2 linked regions of the Daphnia pulex genome follow. The main gene of each other region encodes a partner of the protein of the gene in region 2 in a complex. Links are inferred from orthologs where the notes say so. Each region holds a gene or a part of one and is shown on either strand. Other genes may lie near its edges. The genes, in order: calmodulin and transient receptor potential protein-like.

The links.
Region 1: the proteins of transient receptor potential protein-like (region 2) and calmodulin are in contact, whole or in part, in a crystal structure (PDB 7CQV), measured with the Drosophila melanogaster proteins. The link is inferred for Daphnia pulex from reciprocal best matches to the Drosophila melanogaster genes trp and Cam. Residues at the interface, in NP_476768.1 of Drosophila melanogaster: Gly804, Lys805, Met807, Glu808, Arg809, Ile811, Leu812, Asp814, Phe815, Gln816, Ile817, Val820, Glu821, Lys824; in NP_001246276.1 of Drosophila melanogaster: Glu12, Ala16, Leu19, Phe20, Lys22, Leu33, Val36, Met37, Ser39, Leu40, Gln42, Glu48, Asp51, Met52, Glu55, Val56, Ile64, Phe69, Met72, Met73, Lys76.

Annotation. Positions count from the first base shown.
Region 1 is NC_060018.1:7,623,903-7,627,826, reverse strand, and holds the start of calmodulin, read right to left. Parts: upstream 2,707-3,924; 5' UTR 2,465-2,706; coding exon 2,462-2,464; intron 1,895-2,461; coding exon 1,720-1,894; intron 1,432-1,719; coding exon 1,189-1,431; intron 524-1,188; coding exon 495-523; 3' UTR 1-494. UniProt on the Drosophila melanogaster protein: Calmodulin mediates the control of a large number of enzymes, ion channels and other proteins by Ca(2+). Among the enzymes to be stimulated by the calmodulin-Ca(2+) complex are a number of protein kinases and phosphatases.
Region 2 is NC_060025.1:8,989,372-8,993,292, reverse strand, and holds the start of transient receptor potential protein-like, read left to right. Parts: upstream 1-823; 5' UTR 824-913; coding exon 914-917; exon of another isoform or gene 918-938; intron 939-985; coding exon 986-1,059; intron 1,060-1,105; exon of another isoform or gene 1,106-1,123; coding exon 1,124-1,242; exon of another isoform or gene 1,243-2,006; coding exon 2,007-2,247; exon of another isoform or gene 2,248-2,319; coding exon 2,320-2,462; exon of another isoform or gene 2,463-2,525; coding exon 2,526-2,727; exon of another isoform or gene 2,728-2,735; intron 2,736-2,804; coding exon 2,805-2,978; intron 2,979-3,056; coding exon 3,057-3,291; intron 3,292-3,353; coding exon 3,354-3,506; intron 3,507-3,578; coding exon 3,579-3,724; intron 3,725-3,921. UniProt on the Drosophila melanogaster protein: A light-sensitive calcium channel that is required for inositide-mediated Ca(2+) entry in the retina during phospholipase C (PLC)-mediated phototransduction.

The sequences.
Region 1 (3,924 bases), on a different chromosome or scaffold from region 2:
ATGTTATGTTTTTTTTTCTTTTCTTAATCTGCCGATTCGTATTCTGTTTTAAATTAACTTGGTCCAGTATTCCATCCCCGAGCAGCACGGCAGTTCACAACACTACACTGGACGAGCGCAGCTTATATGCATGGGAACCAAAGTGTTTTTAGACAGTAACGTTGACGTTAGTTTTTTTTTACACACAAAATATTTTTAAAAAAGCAAAAAAAAAAGGAAAAAAAAAACTATTTGAAACAGAAATCTGGTGATGTTATTTTCCCTTCACAAAATGGATGCCGCCCTCGAAAGATCAATGACAACTGGCTTATTTTCTTTTTTTTTTTTTCTTTTTCTTGTTTTGCGTATCGTCAGCCGGGTGTTGTTGTAGTCTTACAAACAGTTGCTTTGAAAAGTATGGTACGTTTTGTTGTTGATTGTTGTTTCGGTAAACACAACCACGTCCACGCTACACACGGCTCACTGGGGAAGGGGCACGACACCGCAGGATTTATTCATTTCGAGGTCATCATGGTCACGAATTCTGCAAAGATAAGAAAAATCGTGTTAGTATCATCGATTCCACTATAAACTAGACAAAAGTGGGGGAAAATAGGAGTTGTCCTGCATCGACTATCAAATTTTAAAACGTCTTGGGAATTCAGGTCACATATTAAAGGACCAGGTTGGACTGAATCTTTACGACGAAAGACGATGAATATTTTAGAGGTAACGCGCTAATTTCGGTTTAAAATCGATGCATCATCATGTTTCTAACACCAAAACTGTTTGTGAATGCCTCCAAAATCAGATTAAAATCGGATTAGGTTAAGCCATGGTTGTTAAATAGAAAATTTATAATTGAGTTACGTTGTCACATTGACATTTGTCACAGAGTCTAGAAATTATGCGTCTGTGTACCAACAGAATATTAAAGGTGCGTCTTTGATAGTTTCTAGACACATGGAACCAAAAGCAGCTTTTTAAATTAATATTTCTACTTCCATATTCCACATTATTTTTTGGTCCATCTGGGAAAGTATGGGACCCGCACGTGCATGCAAGAACCTCCCTAAAAATGTGGATATCTGACTATTTGTAAATGCAGGGCTTAGTTAAAAATCTAAGGGTTTAACAGGCGGACAGACGATGTCGACTGCGATAAAAGAAAATTGGATGCAGGTGAGCATGACATATCATAGTTTTTACCTTCATAGTTAACTTGGCCGTCTCCGTCGATGTCAGCTTCGCGAATCATTTCATCGACTTCTTCGTCGGTCAACTTTTCTCCTAGATTGGTCATGACGTGCCGGAGCTCAGCAGCTGAAATGAAACCATTGCCGTCCTTGTCAAACACACGGAAGGCTTCTCGAATCTCTTCCTCGCTGTCGGTATCTTTCATTTTGCGAGCCATCATCGTCAGAAACTCGGGGAAGTCGATTGTTCCGTTACCTTTGGATTAGAATGATAAGAACTACATTAGATTTCTGTATGATTAGAAACAAAATGAACAATAAGAAATGAACGTGGTTCAAAACAATTTTCATTGATATTGAAAACATGCAGCCAGTATTCTCATTCAAGAAAAGTTCTGCGAGCAGAGAGCAGATATTTCAGGAAGTCTTTTGACTGCCAAGAATCAAGCAGTCAAGCCACTTAAGCAGCAAAAACAAACTTGTCAGAATACTTGATAATCTATTGGAGTTGCAATAAATTAGAAAAATTGAATAATGTGTGTACCATCAGCATCAACTTCATTGATCATGTCCTGGAGTTCAGCTTCAGTGGGGTTCTGTCCAAGCGACCTCATGACAGTTCCCAACTCTTTGGTGGTGATGGTGCCGTCACCATCTTTGTCAAACAAGGAGAAGGCTTCCTTGAACTCAGCAATCTGTTCTTCTGTCAACTGGTCAGCCTGTAGAGGTACAAATGTTTCTGGTTAATATAATTGTCTTGAGAATTCCAAGACATTTCAACATGAGTAATAAAGAGAGAGCCTTGATTGGTATTAACATTGCTCAAACCAGACTGTGTAAATTTGCCCTGAATAAATCTAGCAGTACCAACTTTCTCTTTACTACTGGCCTTGTCTGGTCAGTGTGCAACCATATTGTTTGAGAGCTTCAAGTCTGGTTGTGTGCCGAGCTTAAATTGACGTGTGCAGCAGCAAGCTGTTACGAGCTACTCCAAAATTAGAAAAGAAAGAAGCATTCGACATTTCGAGGGCGATGACGGCCAAATTGCCCCCTGTTTCAGTACAACGAGCCGGCAATGTCAAAAGCGACAACTATCTGAGAAGAAAATAGGAAAAAAGAAAAAAAAAAAGAAAAAGGTCGTTTGATTTTACTTCCCCCTCCCCCCGACCCACCCGACTCTTCTCCAGTCATAAAATCTATATTTCCGTCAAGTGTAGGCTAGGCACTAAAAATGGCGGAATTTTCGTGTGCCGGTTGGGAGAGGATGCCGACGTGGAAGTACTTACCATAGTGGATATTATTGGATGAAATAGAGAGTTGTCGGGGAAAAAAACTAAGTTATCCTGGACGACGGGGCAGGAGAGAGAGCAAAGGCGGTACCACAACGAGCAGCGACGGGGGACGTTCACCAAGCACAACAGACGACAGCCAACTGAGCCGAATGCTCGGAGGAAGAGAGAGAGTGGGAAAAGAGGCGGGGCCCGACTAGAGGCGCCACATGCACATTGCGGAGAGGAGGAAGAAGCCCTTTTCTCTCTCTACGTATATTGACCGGGTATAGCGCAACCTTCTTACTATTTCGAATCCTCAAAAAATAAAATAAGTTGACTTTTTTTTTTCTCTCCTTCTTTTACCGTAATTCTTTTTCTAGACTTTCAAAATCGGGAGTCATTGAGCAATGCGGTGGTACACACACACACACCGTCAGGGACGGATCAACTCCGATACAAGTTGTCATATGGCCGTCCCAGCGTCGCAGTAGTATGTATGCAGCACAGTAGACGTCAAGAATGATGAGTATAAGCTCTAAGCTTTTCTATATACCGTCAGTCCATATGAGTTTCGGGTTTTATTATATATATGGAGAGACCATCAGCCCTGAATAGAAATGATATTGCGCTAGAGTGGCGAATGTTATTTGGCGTAATTGCAAAGGCTCGGCGTTATGCTTGACACGCTTCAGTGCGAGACGGAATGTTGTTGACCTTGCTGCTGCTGCTGCTGCTAAACTATACACATGTCTTCTCTCAAAGACATCCTATATATGCGTGGGCTATATTGGTTGCCAATGTTATAAATTCGTACCAACTCTCAGACCGGAAATAAATTCGACCATTGTTACAGGGCACCCCTGTGGGTAAAGTTGGGGTTTTTTTTTATAAAAGAAGTCTAGCCACCAAACTAATAGAAAATCTACATCCTTTTCAAAAGGCTAGAGTAAACTCGCACACTATGGGAAATTCTTGATTTTGTAACTTTCACTTTATACATCCGCCTTGGAGATGTAACATCAAAAACGAAAGTGAGATGTTTCAATGAGAAAATATCATCAAATGAAAGCTATTATTGTAGTACGAATAATGGGATCTATTCAACTGCGCCCCAAAACGTGTCTTTTGTGTAAAGTGTGTACGTATTTATTCATTTTCATTTCGAAACCAAATTCCGACTTAACGTTTCAATCAATCCGCACAAAGTAGCTAAAGTTGAAAAAGTTGGCGCACACACACACACGGGGAAAAAAGGGAAGGAAACGGAATAATGTGCAACTTGTGTTTGCCGTTAACTGAATTATGCCGAAATATCTGAGTGTAAAGTCAAATATTTAAATTCCATCATCGTGCAGAAAGTGTTGGGTGCTGCAGACTTTTCAAATGTAATGCAATTAACTTTCCGCATTGGTACGACATCGCGCCAGTGAAAATAAAAAAAAGGTACGCGACGAATTCGTTCACGCAAGTCAATAAAA
Region 2 (3,921 bases):
CACAAAAGAGAGCGGCAAAATAGTTCATATGTATAGGCTATAGACGTGATCAGCGGCGATGCAGACTATTATTACTACTCCAGACTATATGTAGCTTCACGTTCCGTCACGGTTGGCGAACGTGAATTGATAGGCCGGCCCACAGTCCGCCTGTATACATGTAGGTTTCTCTGTGATGTGTCCATGCAGATACTCGAGTTACTCCACCCTTCCAAACCGCATACAAATTCCTCTCATCATTCTCAGCCGTATAACCATGTCGTGGATGAATCTACTCAAAAAGAATAAGCCTTGACATGGAGGAGCCATCTCCTATACTATATACATATACCCCACCGGGTGTAACTGATATAAAATCGATCACGAACGACATGAGAAGAAGGAAGTACATATAAAAGAAAAACAAAATAATAATAACAAAACAAAGCAGCAGCATTTTATAAGCGCATAACTGTGCCCCCCTTTTCCAGATTTCCCCGGGAAAAAAATACCAAAATGGACGAATACATCAATAATTTCGATCGTGATAAATCAAACGATGTACATATAGGAAGGACCAAAATATAGCCGGACAGCAGATTGAGAGGGGCCACTGTTTTTGAAGGGCAGCCGGGGAATATCTATACGTGTTCTGATAGAAGCCACCACCATAGAGTAATCCTTTTAAGTGAAACATCGGGACAAAGAAGAATGGCAAAATTCTAAAACTAACACACAGGAGAGTATGTTGTGTGTGTGTGTAGATAGAGCTGACGCCTAACAAGATTAGTTAGTCGAAAATAGCCGAATGATTCCACCGAAAAACGAGGAAGTATGTGGACGAGTTTTGCAGAGCCTTCAGTAGCCCGGCACGCCAGCTGGCCGCTCGGACAATCCAACGAGTCCGTCCGATCCTGGATGGTAGGCCATCATCATGTGTAAGTATCGCCTTTTATTACCTGTGAATGTTTTAATAATTTAGAAAGTTGAATCTATTCCGGTGCAGCGAAAAGAATGGAAGGAAAAAAGAAATCGGATTCTCGGGAGGGTCTCATCTCCCGAGACTCGCAGCAGAGCCTGGTATTAAAATGACATAACTTTAATTTTTAAAAATGACGAAACTGACCTTGTGACCATGCGACAGATAAGTATCAAAGAAGATCCGCAGTTTGTGATGGGCCCGCCCGTCGAGTCGATCCTGAAAAACGAAGAGAAACGATATTTGCTGCTGGTCGAGCGCGGTGATTTCAACGGAGTCCGCAGGTTGGTCCCAAAATTCCATTTCCTTGCAAAAATGGCCAATTCCGACCTCAAACTCAAGTGCTAGCTGCGAACCAACAAGAATCCGATTTCAACTCAATGTTTAGTCAGTCACACGCCCGACCGATTTGCCAGTTCCATATCCTTATTCACAGCTAAAGCCCCTCTCCCAAGGAGAAAACTTGTCCACCCTTCTCCCCTCCCACATATTTAAGCTCGAGGACTTCCGAGTAAGACTCAACAAGGAGCGCTTTTCCTAGTGTCTACATAAATACTACTGCAGGGACCCAAAAAAGAAAAGAAACCCAACTTTTTTCTTCCTTTTTTTCCCGCGTGCAAAGGCACGCGGAAAATCGAATCATCAGATCCAGCAGGAAACAGATTTCTTTCAATAGAGTTCCCTATTTTTTTTTCTCTCCTTTTGGAAAATCTCCTTCATGCACCAACTCCTTTTTCTCCGTCAACTTTTGAGCGGATGAAAAACAGCCATTCCTAGAATATCAGTATAAGAAACAGTCAAAACCCCCTGACGTCCAGTTTGTTATTTGCTCTTGTCGCTATTGACCTTAACACAAAAAAAAGGAGAAAAGGTATTGCATCTGCAGAACGTGACACTGAAAGCGCATTGTCCTATTTGTTCAAGACATGGCGAAGGTCATATATCCTATATCTTAAGGGATTAAGTGAATCCTACATCTGCATAGCACCGAATTTTGGTTAGAGGAGCCCTTTAAAATTGGAACAAATAATTTGACAAAATTCTACAGCTTGATAGAAGACTACAAGGATCGCCCAAACGATTTGAACCTGAACTGCACGGATCCGCTGGGTCGTACGTCGCTCGTTATCGCCATCGAAAACGAGAGCTACGAGCTGCTTGAAGTCCTGCTCGAAGGTGGCATTAAAGTGTCTGACGGGCTCCTGCACGCCATCAGCGAGGATTACGTCGAGGCCGTCGAGTTACTTCTTGAATGGGAAGAAAAAAACCACAAGGATGGCACTCCTTACGTACGTCTAGACATTTCTATAATCGCTGAAAGAGCAAAAAGGATTTCTCTTTTACTGTTTTTCTTCTTCTAGAGCTGGGAAACGCTGGACAGCGAAAATGCCACTTTTACGCCCGACATCACTCCACTCATTCTGGCGGCTCACCGGAACAACTACGAGATCCTGAAACTCCTGCTGGATCGTGGCGCTGCCTTACCTATGCCCCATGACGTCCGGTAATTACAAGAAAAAACCCATCAGGATCAATAATAATTAATGAATCGATTGTGATTGAACAGGTGCGGCTGCGATGAGTGCATTGCTTCCAGCAAGGCCGATTCTCTGCGTCATTCCCGCTCTAGGATCAATGCCTACCGCGCACTAGCTTCGCCATCTCTTATCGCCCTGTCCAGCAAGGATCCCGTCTTGACGGCTTTCGAGTTGAGCAACGAATTGAACCGCATGTCCATCATCGAATCCGAATTCACCGTCGACTACAAGGTACGGACCTAATTATAATTGACCAGAGTTAAATTAGAAGCAGATTAATAAATATTTCCATGATTTGACGAGGGCAGCAACTGGAAGAACAATGCCAAAAGTTTGCGACGTCTTTGCTAGACCATGTCCGAAGTTCCTACGAATTGGAGACGCTACTCAACTATTCTCACGACTCTGAAGAAGTTTGGGAGCCCGGCGACCGCCAGACTCTTGACCGACTCGAATTGGCCATCAAGTACACCCAAAAAGATGTGCGTATTATCAGGCTAATTATAATCGTCTAACAAATCATTTTCAAAACCCCAAACCTAACCTAACCCGTTCTAAAGTTTGTGGCTCACGCAAACGTGCAACAATTGCTGGGAGCTATTTGGTACCAAGGTTTGCCGGGATTCCGTCGCCGCTCGGCCATCGGCCAGATCGTCGAGACGATGAAAATCGCGGCCAAATTCCCCATTTACTCGATGCTCTACATGATTGCGCCAACGACGGAAAAGGGGAAATTCATCAAGAAACCTTTCGTCAAATTCATTTGTCATTCGGCCTCGTATCTCTTCTTTCTCTGTAATGCGCCATAAAATTTGACTACGACTGCAGCAATTATGAACTGATTCCCCATTATTTAGCTCTACTCGGACTGGCTTCTCAACGCGTTGAATACCTCCTCATTGAATGGTTTGGCACTGAATGGATGCAGGAAATCATGGAAGATTGGAAACGTCGCGAAAGGGGATCCATACCCGGACCTATAGAACTTTTCATCATGTTATACATATTCGGTTCGAATGACTCTGCGATTCTAACAATAAGCAACATCTGCAACTGAAAAATGTTCCTTCTTTGACAAACAGGGCACATCTGGGCGGAAGTTCATTCATTATGGTCCGACGGTCTAATGGAATACATCACGGATTTATGGAACTTGATTGATTTCACTTCAAACAGCTTCTTCCTGGCTTGGATATTTTTACGAGGTGTCGCCTGGTTCATCGTTCAGGTAAAAAGATGAAGTTGGAAAAAATCAAATAATTACAACTCGGAAAGAGAGAAAAAAAAATCAATTTCCTGTTTCGACTGACTGACTGACGTCTGAGCGAAGCCTCAAAAATAGTGTTCAAGATTACACACCGCACCGAGAGAGAGAGAATAAAGTTGTCGTGTACGTATGAGTAATCTAATTATCTGGGGATACTA